Linked DNA regions of Arabidopsis thaliana. The main gene of each other region encodes a partner of the protein of the gene in region 2 in a complex. Each region holds a gene or a part of one and is shown on either strand. Other genes may lie near its edges. The genes, in order: AT3G62790 and MEE4. A codon is read from its position in the direction of its gene.

Region 1 (6,757 bases), on a different chromosome or scaffold from region 2:
CGTCATATATCTTTCAGGCGGCTACTCGACTTCTTTATTTAACAAATAATTGGATAATATCAAATTTTACAGGGAATTTTTAACTGATTCTTTTTTTTTTACAGTTCAGAAATATTATTTCTTTGTGAATAACACCAGATTTTTTATTTTTATTAAGACAATTTTTAAAAAAATTAGATTCTTTGCTTTACGATTCAGATAAACTCCAGATATAGATATCATAGATCCTACTATAGTGTATAACTATAATATACTATTACCATTAGGTTATAAAATATATTTGAATTTTTATAAATGAAAATACAATAAAAAAATGTGTTATTTCATTAAAAATCATTTTTTTTTTTTCTTCCTATTGTTTATTTTGAAGGATAATTAATTGATTGTTACATAAATCTCGCATTTATCTATGCCAACTAAAAAAATGTAGAAATAATATTATGAAGAAGATTTTTCAAAAATAAAAAAAACGCAACAATTTTTATTCTTTTTCCAAAAAGGTTTGTTATATATATTAACCAGGTGCATCATTCATCAATGGTGAACCATTTTTGGAGAGTACAAGACAGTACAAACATGATACAGATAGAGCATTTTACAAACCAAAAACGTCTAAGTAAAGAACGTAACAATTTAGGGTGTGATTTTGTTAGAAAGAGAGAAAAAAACACACAACAATTTTTATGTTGAGTTCGAAGAAAAAGAACACACACACAAGTTGGGGGAATTGATGACATCATTAGTTAAATAAAATCAACAAATCTCCAAACCGACGACTAGGCTTCCAGACGTTGACAATCAATTAATATCTGTAAGGACTCATCGGTGGATATAGTCCCGGTTGTGTCAGCGGCGGAGCCACCGTTGAATAACCTTCTGGTGGACATGATAAGCCAGGAAATATAGATTGATACATTGTGGGTGGACTTCCCGGCATGTTACTCGGCGGATACAATCCGGGGAAGCATACCGGTGGAAGAATCTCAGGCTGAGCAAGTGGTGGATAAATCGGTGGCTGACAAGGAACGTGGTTGTAACTAAACGATCCAACACTTGGTAGCAACTGACTCAACACGGGTCCGTTCAACTGGCTCAACACGGGTCCCTGCAACTGACTCAACACGGGACCATTCAACTGACTCAACACGGGACCGTTCAACTGGCTCAACACGGGTCCGTTCAACTGACTCAACATGGGTCCGTTCAAAACGGGCCGGTAGGTCGATACAGGACGCACCGGCGCTTGAGCTGCGTACCGTGAGCAGCCGCCACCGGTCGGGACCTCCACCGGACCTGTGAACGAATAAGTGAAACTAATATCGGCTTTGGATTTCCCGATTTGATATGTGACGTATCTTTGACCGGTCTTATCGTTTCCAAGATGATCCAGAAGTTCTTTCACCTGAACATGAACCTCGCCGATGTCTTTATCTACTCCTCCACGTTGCTCGCACTTGATCTTGAAAGTGATCACAAGGCGGTTAGCCTCTGCTAAGTTTTGGTCGAGGATGAACTTCATGACATCATTGCTCCATTTGGGGCTGGTTCCACCGTCTCTTGCCGCTTGTGTCCGCTGCTCACGGTGGTCAGAGCATTTTGGATCACCGGATAACTTCACGGCCACAAAAACATCCATCTTCGACACTTTCTTAAGCCCTTTTGCTGATGTCACATTTATTTCTAGAGATCTCGTCCCCATTTTGATATTACCCAATGAAAAAGCTGGTTCTCTCTAGACACATTACATATAGGAGTTGCAGAGAAGACTAAGTGAAAGTCAATGACAACTATTTATAGAGGACCTTTTCATTATTCCACCCACTGTTCTGTTTTTAATGTCTCTCGAATAATGATTTTAATATAACTGTAGGAGTAATTATTACCATTAAAGAAGGAGTCTGTGTTTGACGAGTAGCCAAAGGCATATTACAACTCGGTCAAAGGTAATAGACAAAGCAAAGACAAAAAAATCCATTGCAAAAGCAAACTGAATACGATCAAATGAAGTTTGGCACACAAGATACAGAAATCTTCAAGAAACTTTTGTTTATTCTTCGAAAGATGCAAACTTTGGAGATAGGAGGAAAATCTCGACTAGTGATGAGTATGAGTCCCATCCCCGGTTTCTTCGCCTTTCCTTGATGCAGCTCTTAGTTTACGTTGTTCTTCTTTGTATATCCTGTTTCTTCGTTGGAACTAGATCAAAATACACAAATATGCGCTCCTTATCAGTTCATCTACCATAGGCTTATACTAAGCAAAGAAGAAAGAAACAATATTGGAGACAACAATAATAAAGCTTTTGATTCCCTCAAAAGTTCACACGCAAGCCTATACATTCAGTTTCATTCAAATTTATGATTTCAACACATAGAGAAGAGAGACAATATCGTTCCATTTGAAAGATCAAACAGAGACAAGAGATAAAGAGTAAGTCTCAACTTCCAAACTTAACAGCTAAACAATTCATGGCCATGAAACTAAATCTCAGATAAGGGAAGTGGTATTATATTAACCTAATCCCTACAAGCAACCTAGTGAAAGCATCCACATATATACTTGGGAGATTGCAATTCAACTTTTCTAGTTTCAAGCAAAAAGAAAGCTTATGTTTTTATACATGTAGCAAACGAAACGACCAGACTGAGAGATTGTTCCAACGGATCTAGGAATGACTTAAACTCGTGATCCAGAAACTATCGATGATCGTACAGACGACCGATAACAGGACGAATCATCAATGAAACAGATCAAGCAATCAAAAGCGTGAATTGATGACACATACAACAACACAGGAACGATAATTGAAAGAAACCCTAAAAAAAGGAAAAAGGCGAAACCTAACCTCTTTGGAATGGTGAAGACACTCGAGGTAGTCTTCACGAAGAAGAGTACAGTCTTTGGGCTCTCTGCAATGAGACATACATTCGCTGAAATCCATCCAGAAATCGTAACACCTCCCTTTGTTTCCCGTTATCCCCCACCCCGACGCCATTTTTCCTTCCTCTCTCTCTAATCCCAGGAGAAATTTAGTCGTCTTCTTCGCCTGATTTCCGAGGATCCGATCTATTCAGGTTAATCCAATTAGAACCCGAAATAAATGTGCCTTTATATTATGGGCTTTAACGTAAACACTTCATGGGCCCAACTTTGAGATATCAATTCCTGTAATTACGTTAGTGTGAAGGTAATTATTACCAGAATTTTACCCGTTCCTTAACATTAAGCAGGAATTGTTGTTACTTTGTTACTAGGCTTTTAATAGTTTAATAAAATTTAGTCTGCTGTCGAAAAAAAAAAAGTGCAAAAGTTCCTTTATGTTTGACTTGTTGGTGGATTAGAATTTCAAACCCCTGATTTAGCAGTTCTTAATGGCCATTACGGACTATATATGATAGTAATTTATATGTCATATATAATGTTATATATTTTATATATAAAACATTTAATTAAATATGACTTTAGTTTTTTTTTAAAGAATTATATTAATTTTTGGTAAAGTTTAATTCTAGTATTTTTACGGTATTAAAAAATGTTTGGGTTGTTTTTTCAAATTTAATAGTTAATTTTCCACTTTTAAAGAAAACAATTGCTTTTCATTGTTTTGGAGAAGGTAGTTCACGCCCATGGCTGTTTCTAAGCTAGGGAATCTTTTCTTATGTGAGAGTGAGAAAAGGTTGTTCAAATATTACCCAGAGACAGACTACCTTTGTTGCCTCTCCAGACTTTTGTGTTATAACTTCTTTCGTCGAAAATTTAGTCTCACTTCGTTCCAGGCCCGACTCAATATTATTTTGGGTTCTGTGCTAAAAAAAAAAATATCCCCTTTAAACCTTTAAATCCAAAAAATTTTAGTTTACGTGGCAGTGTTTACTGTCTCTTGTAAACGTAATACACTTGTAGTTCTATTCAACCATTGTAATTTTATCTAGAAAAATAAAAATTCCTATAAATTAGGACCCTAAAATTTAAGAGAGAAAATAAGGACTCTGTGCCTTGGCACTGCTGGCACACCCTGCTTCGTTCACAACCAGGATCTGTTCGGAAAATCAGCACTTGTGGGTACCAATATGGACTTAGCTATGTACAACCTGAATGTCTTCCGAAAATCATCAGCACATCTCCGCACCGGTCTCGAATATCTAATATCGTGATGGAATTGCTGTTCCCAAATATTTTGCTTACCTCTACTCTAGTGTCTCTAATTATATTCGGTTATCGTTACAAATATTCTACTTGAAGCGGTTACTTATCTAGCTGGTTTTGCTTATGTCTACATCTTACTATTTAATATTTATTCTGTTAAGCTTTTCCATAATCTATTAACATTTAATCTCGCCTTGTTTCTAATAAACACAATGCTTTAAAACAAAAATTAGTCATTACACAGTATACATACTACATAGCATATTGCTTAAGAAAACCAGAGACGAGAAGCATTCTATTTCTACAAACAGATGAGATATAGCTTACCTTAACATTCTATCTCTACACTTATTATGCATCAAAGATGATGATGTCGTTATGGCTTCACAAGACGATAGGCTATAAATTTATCATCTCTAAAGAGCATCTCCGCGTCTTGAGGAAGAGTTATCTCGGGGTTCCATGGGCGACAAACTACATGTTGGCCAGTTGGTATACTCAGGTGGCCAGTTCCCATTATGAGCTTCTTTTTCTCACTCTCATCTACTACACATGATGATGTTTCACTACCATCGTTTGTGGGATTCTGAGGCATCCACGAAGAACAAGCAGCAATGTTCCTCTTGATACCATTGGCAGCTGGTGCATTAAGAGTAATAACGTTTGTAGGATTGTGAGGTATAGGCAAAGAAGAAGAAGCAATGTTCATCTTCATACCATCAGTAGTTAGTGCACTAAGAGTACCATCGTTTGTAGGATTCTCAGGCTCATTCAAAGCAACGTTAATCTCCTTAGCATTACTGGCTGGTGCATCATGAAGATCTGGAAATTCTGCACAGAATCAAGACTGTAGAGCATGAGTTTTGAATGAATTAACCATCTTGACCATTTAGCATTAAACTGAAATTGGAATCCATTTCATGCAGTTAAAGTAAGGTTGGCTTTCTTATTTCATAGCTGTTTCCTACCTATCTCAGGAAAATACGTCCCTCTGATTGGACCACAAGTTATAACAAAGAAAGAGAGTTTTTCCTTTAACAAACAAACCAACGGATTATTCATGTAGTGTAGTATTCAAAGAAAACTAACCATCTTCATTCACTTTAATCCCCTTTGATGGGGTATCAGGGGTCATCACCACCTTGGAAGAAGGTTGAGAATGGATCTCTTGTGGACTGCTCTTCACATTTGAATTTACATCTTCTTGTCTCTCACTAGGCAAAGTAGGCGATCCGGTCTGGTTCGAGTTCCCATTTTTGATACTCATGAATGCAACTTTAGCAGCGCTCATTTCAGCCAACTTTTTGGTTTTCGCCTCTTCTCCACTGAAAACTTTACCAGCAAACTCAACAGTTGAAGTAAAAGTAGGCGCATGCGATGGACCAGATGTAGCAGTTGCATAAAATGGTAACAGAGAACTCTCTTTCTGTGCAATTTCTTGTAACAGGTTCTTGTAGGCAACATCAATTCCCTGAAACAACAAAAATTTGAAAATCAAAATTTAAACAAATGTTGAAAAAGCACATAACTTGTAGTCCAAAAAGAGTGTGAGGAACTAGCCTCTGGACTTTGTGGCGTCAAAGAAGCAACTGCAATTTTTGCAGCGGCATGTTCAGCCGATTTTAGTGTCGGAAAGAATTCAGAGCTCTGGAAAGTCTGTCCACAGAATGTAACATTACATCTAAATCTAGGAGCATGAGGAGGCCCTTCTCTCTCATTCGCATACACTGGTAGCTCCAGATTATGTTGCAGGGCATACGCTTGCAGTTGACCTTTGTATACATGATCCATCTCTATCTAAACTGGCAGGAATTAACCAAACATAAAGAGATCAACGTGTATCAGAATTTCTCAAACATAAATGGCAAACGAAGAGACGAATTTCAGATTTCAGAATTGGTCAACCAAACATAAAGAGATCAACATGACAACATGTATCAGAATTTCTCAAACATAAATGGCAAACGAAGAGACGAATTTCAGAATTGGTCAGACTCAATGATCTAGGGTTTCGTACAGATCGATAACATCAAAACAGCGAAAGGAATCTACGATTATAAACACAAAATCGTACCTCTTTGAAATGGTGAAGACACTTCGAGGGAGGAAGTGAACAATCAGACAAAGCATTCGCTGATTGAAACTCATCGAGAAACCATAATAAGTATACACATGTAAATTGTCTCAAGGATACGAAAGATTCGGGTTAACCCAGCTTGAACGGGTATGATCCGAAATAATCCATTAATGGGCCAAAATTGGGCTTATTCATGAAAGTTGTAAAGGCCCAATGAAACTCGAAGTTGATCAGAAGGTTGTCGGCGACCAAATTTCTAAATCCAATTTTGGGAGGGAGACGACGGCGGAGGTTGAAAGGGGAAAGAGCAGAAATGGTGACCGGAGAAGCGTTGATCGCGTACAGAGCACTGCTCAGGGCAACAAAGAAATCATTCGCCGGAGATACCGAGATGCTAAAAGCTTCGGCGTCCGAGATCCGTAAGAAATTCGAAGAGAATCGCCTCGTGGCTTCTAACTCCGACATCACTCGCCTTCTAGAAGAGGCGCGTGAAGCGACGCAGTTCATTTCCACCATGATCGTCCAGGCTAAACT
Region 2 (6,660 bases):
ATGACAAACTTGATTGGCGGTCCACCTCTTACCATACATTGCAAATCCAAGCAAGACGATCTAGGAATTCACGTGGTGCCTTTCAAGCAAGAGTACCACTTCAAGTTTCAACCAAATCTTTGGAAATCAACATTGTTCTTTTGCAGTTTCCAATGGGACAGTCAATTCAAGTCGTTTGATATATATGATGCTCAGAGAGATCAAGGTATATGTGATGACTGTCAGTGGGAAATAAAACCTGATGGTCCATGCAGGCTCGGTAAAAAGGCGAAATGTTTTCCTTGGAAGTAAGTTTGTACTCCTGCGATGATGAAGATATATATATATATATATATATATATTCAAATTCAATAAAATCAATAAACAGAATATTTATGCATTTCTTACTATTTAAAGATTTGTTTCTTAAAGATACTCATTGACATCGGAATGCTTAGAGTAAGAAACAAACATATTTTGGTAGACACAAAACCGGAGTAAACCGAGAATTATTCGTTATCTTCACTGGTTTTCTCTCTTAAGGTTTGTTGTTGCATACTCTTCTCACTAAGGATGTCAAAATGGTTAACCCAATTCAACACAACTCATTACCAATGAGTTTAGGCTTCATGGGTTGACCCAACTCATTTTGTTAAATAGGAAAAGCAATTCAAACAGTTTGAGATATTTGATGCTTTCAGAGATCAAGATGTATGTTATCTATGTAATTGGACTGTCAAAGCTGATGGTGCTTGCAGGCTTGGTAAAGAGCATAAATGTTTTCCTTAGAAATACTTTCATATGACTGATTTTAATGAAAATTTGAGAATGAATAAGACAATATCAGAAATCCACATCACGTCAAAAAATAATAACATTTTTTGTAGACAATAAATCAAAACCGGATCAAACCGGATTATTCTTTATCTTGGGTGTCCAAAATGAGTGAAGGATCTTCCTTCCAGACAACATCATCATAAGAAAACGCTTTGGCTAAACAAGAAACCAACTGTTCATGAATCACTTCTTCTGAAGGAAGCAGAGTATCCGTCTCTCTTCGCAAAGATGTAACTTCTTTATCAGCAATCCCACAAGGCACAATGTGCTCAAAGTACTTCATATCAGGATCTATATTTAAGGCCAAACCATGACTAGTGATTCCAGAAGATATCCTAACCCCAATAGCACCGATCTTCCTATCCCCAACCCAAACCCCAGTCTCACATTTGTTTCCTGCTCGAGCTTTCACGCCATAAATCGAAGCAAACTCGATCATTGACCGCTCCAATGTCTCCACGTAGTTCCTAGCACCAAAACCAATGCTGCGTAAGGAAATGATGGGATATAAGATGGCTTGATGAGGGCCATGGAAGGTGATGTCTCCTCCTCTTTGAGTATAATGAAGTTCAGCTCCGATTTTTGTAAGTTCAGATTCAGGGATAAGTAGATTGTGATCGGTTCTACGCTTTCCGAGCGTATAAGTTGGTGGATGCTGAAGCGAGAGGAGGGTATCTGGAATCTGATGAGCTTTTCTCTCTGAAACTAATTTCTCCTGCAGTTTAAGGGATTTCAAATAGTTGACAGTGCCTAGCTTCCAAACCTCCAAGGTTCTAGGGGATCTCATTTCCTGCACATTAACACAGACTCCATAATTGATCACTTTATCTCTAACTACTTAGGTTATATAGGAAGATTCCAAACACGACCTTTTTTTCCACACAAACTTAATACTACTGATGGGGGTCTAAAAGCATGACTAACACAACAAAAAATTTCCAAAGGCAGCAAACCTAAAATTAGGAATAAAAATCTGAGGAGCTAGGATACAAACCCTATGAATAGTTTTTGGTACCAGGTCTTTGAGGTATTTTATCGAACACTTAACATGCATACACAAAGAAAAAGACACGGAGGATTACCGTAACCGATAAAAACCCATATAAATGATCGTATACATGGTACAAGAGCAAGTAATCGGTAAAGTAAGAGGCTTTGAAGAGCTAGATTACCGTTTCAGTTCTTCTCCTCCACCGAAGAGTTTGGACCTCAGAGATAGGTTCTCTCCAGATTAGAAATTTTGGATTTATTAAAAGCTTCAAAATTCAACGACTTTGCACTTGTACCCTTAAGTTTTCAATTTTCACAGAATTACGCCTTATCTAGAACATATCTCAACAATTCACACCCTCTTATTTTAATTCCAACATATAAAAACCCAGTGATTCAAATCGCAAACAATCTTTTCAGGGAATGATGCTGTTTCTTATCCCTTTGTATTTCAGAATTAAGAAAAATACAAAGATTGTACAATTTCAAAACTTAGGGGTCAAATTCGAAGGAAAAAAGGTCTAGAAAAGTTTCAGTTTTCCAATAGTTTGATCTTCTCAAGAGAAGTATTCATCTGCCTAATCTCCTCTTCAGACAAGCTTTTGCTACACTGCTCAAACTTCTCCTTGTCGCACTTCAAGGCTGTGTCTCTACACGCTCTGATGCAACCGCTAATATCGAGCAAGTTTAAGATCACCGGACAGTTTCCGATGCTTTTGACCAATGTGATTGCTAACCAAACTTGTCTGTGTTCTTCTCTTGATGATCTTACAATGCATAGCTTCGTGATTGGATTCACATATTTCACTTGGAAGGAACCGAGAGACGAACCTAGACCACACTCGCCGAAATTGACGAGGATACTGTCTTTGATTGCTTTCGAGAGATTGAATTGTGTAAGAATGATCGGTGTTCCTTCTCCGAGAAGATCCTTGTCCGGATCCAGAAAAACTTCCATTAACATGTATCTGTTCTTAAATCCCACCATGCTTCTTCGAATCTCCTCGATTTGATGATACCAAGTCGGCGGCTAAAGATATTCTGAACATGTAGTTAGGGCATTTTATATGTAAGAAGAAGAAGAAGATAATCACGTGACTCCACGTGACTTGCTTACTTATGGACTTGGGTCTTTGAACATATCTGAAATGGGCTTAGTTATAGCCCATTTCATCTCATACGACTCCGTGATTTGCTAACTAATGGGCTTAGTTATATGGTCCTAGCCTAGTTAATCTCCAACGTTCCCTTCGTTGTTCATCGGAATCCCTAGAACACTCGATTTCAGCAAAATCAAATCGGATTCAGTGATCAAAAGTCAATTTGGTCGAGAAGAAATTGAGCGTTGAAGATGACGGAGGCGATGATAAGAAATAAGCCAGGAATGGCGAGTGTGAAGGATATGCCGCTGCTTCAGGATGGTCCGCCACCGGGTGGGTTCGCACCGGTCCGATATGCCCGCCGGATATCCAATACGGGTCCTAGTGCAATGGCCATGTTCCTTGCCGTTTCTGGTGCCTTTGCTTGGGGAATGTACCAGGTCGGCCAGGGAAACAAAATCCGCAGGTAAGAACGACTTGTAATAGCTCGTTCACATTTCAATTTTTCCTCTAAAATTCGAGATCGCCTTGGTAAAATTAGTGTTGTGGAGTGATTGATGACCATAGTAATGTAGTGAAGGATACATTTTGGTTAATAATTGTTGAAACTTGAGTATGTTTATCGTAGGAATTGGTTAATATTATTAACCTATGGAAACATAGGCTTGTTGAATCACTGTTATGTATTCTGTTATTAGTATTCCCCGACATTTTGGTTGAAGCTTAATCAGCATGAGTTTAGCCTTAAACGAATATAAAGTTCGTCAACAATTTGTAAACTCTTAAAGCCACAATTGCAAAGATGTGAGAATCTGTTATGATGAAAGCAATTATCTAGTTGCATGTTTTGATAGTAGTTATCGGGATACTGTTTCTATGTAGATAGATTGTTTTAGTATTATATCTGGCTTGATCATTAACTTCTTATGCATTTACAATGGTCCTAAACAAGTCTGATTTGATATCAGTAAGTATCAAGATTAATGCTCTTATCAAGATTGATGTGATGTTTAGGGCATTGAAGGAAGAGAAATATGCTGCTCGTAGAACAATACTTCCCATTCTTCAAGCAGAAGAAGATGAAAGGTAAACCATATTCTCAAATTTAAGTCAATGTGCCTGCAGCAACCTTCAGATAGCAATCTTGTTTCAATCCCCGTTTTGCATTCTAGGTTTGTGTCTGAGTGGAAAAAGTATCTGGAATATGAGGCTGATGTAATGAAAGATGTTCCGGGATGGAAAGTTGGCGAGAATGTGTACAATTCTGGTCGCTGGATGCCTCCGGCTACTGGGGAACTCCGTCCTGATGTGTGGTGATTTCCTAGTTTCTCTCAAATGCATATGATGATGATGAATGATGTTTCGCTGAGGATTGATATGTTCTTGTTATATCTTTTTTTCTTCGGGTAATAAGAGAATGATTCAACAGACAGTATTCTTCTTGTATTGGTTTTCTCTTAAGTGTTTCAATCGTAATATGAGGCAAAAACAGTTTCATGATTCATCAGCAAGCTGCAAGAAATTGGCTTATTTGACAGCTCCAGGTGAAAAATATTCGAAAAAGCTTACCGAGTGAAATCGAACCAAATCATATATAATTATATGTGAATTTAATATCCAAAACAATAAAATTTTGAAAACAAGAGTTCTTGAAAATGAAAAAAAGAGTAAAACCTTTTCAGAAAATAAATAAAATTAAATGCTAAATATAGTACATGAAAATGAGAAAAATATGTTAGATTTGTGAAATCGTTAATGACCATGGTTAAATGGCGGGATCCAAAATCCGGTTAGATTTCACAACGTCATATTAATTTAGTATTTATAAAATCTTTTAAAAAAAAGAAAAAGGAAAAAAAAAGAGAGTTGAAAACATTTTTAAAAAAATAAAATAAAAATAATTAAATGCTAAATATACATGAAGATGTGAAAAACATGTTGGATTTGTGGAATCGCTAATGACCACGGTTAAATGGCGGGATCCAAAATCTGGTTAGATTTCACAACGTTATATTAATTTAGTATTTATTAAAACTTTTAAAAAAATCAAAAAAAATTTGAAAAACTTTTAAGAAAAGAAAACAAAAAATAAATGCTAAATATACATGAAGATGTGAAAAATATGTTGGATTTATGGAATCGCTAATGACCACGGTTAAATGGCGGGATCAAAAATCCGGTTAGATTTCACAACGTCATATTAATTTAGTATTTATAAAAAACCTTTAAAAAATTATTTATTTAAATGTTTTAGTGAAAGTTTTAGTTTTGGTTAAAATAATTTTTAAAGAAAAGAAGAAAAAAAGTTAGAATGAAGAAAGTCCTAGTGTAACGAAGGCCTCATACAGCAAAGCCCATTCCAAAGTCCTAGTGTAGCTCTGTCGTAACATTATCCACCAATTTTAGGTCAATTTTGTAAAACTAAACTACAAGATCATTCCATGGGAAGCTTCTCTCCGATATGCAAGACAAGACGCCAAAGAATGGCAAGATGCAGAAGAGTACACCCACCGTTTATCATCAAAACCTGACAGAGTAACGTCACAAGAACCAACAGCTAATCTCTGGACAACACCCCCTATTGGTTGGACGAAATGCAACTATGACGGCACTTACCACAGCAACGCTCCGAGTAAAGCGGGTTGGCTCTTACGGGATGATCGAGGAACCTTTCTAGGTGCAGCTCATGCTATAGGCTCTATTACTACCAATCCGATGGAAAGTGAACTCCAAGCTTTAGTCATGGCCATGCAACATTGTTGGAGTAGGGGCTATAGGAAAATTTACTTTGAAGGTGACAATAAAGAAGTCTCAGAGATTGTCAATGGTCGGTCTTCAAATTTTGCAGTTTTTAATTGGATAAGAGATATAAGCGCTTGGAGATCAAAATTTGAAGAATGCAAGTTTACTTGGACAAGGCGATTTTCAAACATGGCTGCAGATGCTCTGGCAAAACAACAACTTCCTTTGAACACTCAGTTTTATTGCTATAACTATATCCCGTTTGTAATAACTGATTTTTTACATCGCGACTTTGCTACAGCAAATTATTAATAAAGCTGATGTTTGAGGAAAAAAAAAAAAACTACAAGATCAAACCCTAGTTCCTCCGATGAAATTGCGGTTAGAAAACTAAATATTGATTGACCTAATTCAAAGAGACCTTTTTTGTGCAGAAACTAAATATTAAAAATCCAAGGTTCCAAGAGATCAAATAGGAATTTAAGCGAGAAGCAACATACCTGAGTCTCGTGACAACGGCGCGTGGTTTGCGTCAATACTTGGGACTCTCGGTGAGATCCGCCATGATTTGCTAGAGAGATCGTGAAACGCAAGAAAACAGAGAGACAAACGGTGGCGAGATCATTGATGGTGTGATCACCGAGTTACAGTTCCGACGGTTCTGACGGTGGTGAAAATGGATGGTGATCATCGAGCTTTGACGTTCTCGTGATCGGTGAGTTCTTTTTGTAAGAGAGGAACAGAAACAAACAGAGGCTAAAAAGACAAAAGAAGAAGAAGAAGGTGGATTTTTTGTTTTCTTCTCGTAATCCATGCTTTGGACCTTGTATCAGCCACTTATGATCATTTGCTATATTGATGCTTTCCAATTTTAGAGTATTGAAATGGGTTTCTTTGACAATCATTTTGAGTTAGTCATCATTCCTTGTTCTGAATCAAGAATTGGCTTTTGTTATGTTGTCTAGGTTCTGCTTGTAACTAGAGTAATGCTATTGTAGTCTCTGTTGTTTAT

The links.
Region 1: the proteins of MEE4 (region 2) and AT3G62790 are in contact, whole or in part, in a cryo-EM structure (PDB 7AQQ), measured with the Arabidopsis thaliana proteins. Residues at the interface, in NP_171957.2 of Arabidopsis thaliana: Tyr104 (codon at 4,101), Tyr107 (codon at 4,110), Glu108 (codon at 4,113), Asp110 (codon at 4,119), Val111 (codon at 4,122), Met112 (codon at 4,125), Lys113 (codon at 4,128), Asp114 (codon at 4,131), Val115 (codon at 4,134), Trp118 (codon at 4,143), Gly121 (codon at 4,152), Glu122 (codon at 4,155), Val124 (codon at 4,161), Tyr125 (codon at 4,164), Asn126 (codon at 4,167), Ser127 (codon at 4,170), Arg129 (codon at 4,176), Met131 (codon at 4,182), Pro132 (codon at 4,185), Pro133 (codon at 4,188), Ala134 (codon at 4,191), Thr135 (codon at 4,194), Arg139 (codon at 4,206); in NP_191838.1 of Arabidopsis thaliana: Ile7 (codon at 2,977), Thr8 (codon at 2,974), Arg13 (codon at 2,959), Asp16 (codon at 2,950), Phe17 (codon at 2,947), Leu36 (codon at 2,890), Leu37 (codon at 2,887), Glu39 (codon at 2,881), Asp40 (codon at 2,878), Glu43 (codon at 2,869), Cys44 (codon at 2,866), His47 (codon at 2,857), Lys49 (codon at 2,851), Glu50 (codon at 2,848), Phe51 (codon at 2,196), Arg53 (codon at 2,190), Arg54 (codon at 2,187), Arg56 (codon at 2,181), Ile57 (codon at 2,178), Glu60 (codon at 2,169), Glu61 (codon at 2,166), Lys64 (codon at 2,157).

What each region holds. Positions count from the first base shown.
Region 1 is NC_003074.8:23,221,227-23,227,983, forward strand, and holds AT3G62790 (NADH-ubiquinone oxidoreductase-like protein), read right to left. Parts: upstream 3,101-6,757; 5' UTR 2,996-3,100; coding exon 2,846-2,995; intron 2,197-2,845; coding exon 2,095-2,196; 3' UTR 1,804-2,094; downstream 1-1,803. Other genes in the region: AT3G62780 (Calcium-dependent lipid-binding (CaLB domain) family protein), read right to left, coding at 803-1,699; DRB4 (double-stranded-RNA-binding protein 4), read right to left, coding at 4,523-4,977, 5,236-5,617, 5,707-5,937; AT3G62810 (complex 1 family protein / LVR family protein), read left to right, coding at 6,537-6,757. UniProt on the Arabidopsis thaliana protein: Accessory subunit of the mitochondrial membrane respiratory chain NADH dehydrogenase (Complex I), that is believed not to be involved in catalysis. Complex I functions in the transfer of electrons from NADH to the respiratory chain.
Region 2 is NC_003070.9:1,287,484-1,294,143, reverse strand, and holds MEE4 (GRIM-19 protein), read left to right. Parts: upstream 1-3,031; 5' UTR 3,032-3,157; coding exon 3,158-3,372; intron 3,373-3,920; coding exon 3,921-3,992; intron 3,993-4,078; coding exon 4,079-4,223; 3' UTR 4,224-4,323; downstream 4,324-6,660. Other genes in the region: AT1G04645 (Plant self-incompatibility protein S1 family), read left to right, coding at 1-291; LIP2 (lipoyltransferase 2), read right to left, coding at 896-1,603; EMB1687 (ribonuclease P family protein / Rpp14 family protein), read right to left, coding at 2,339-2,794; AT1G04625 (Polynucleotidyl transferase, ribonuclease H-like superfamily protein), read left to right, coding at 4,324-4,450, 5,356-5,912, 6,224-6,313.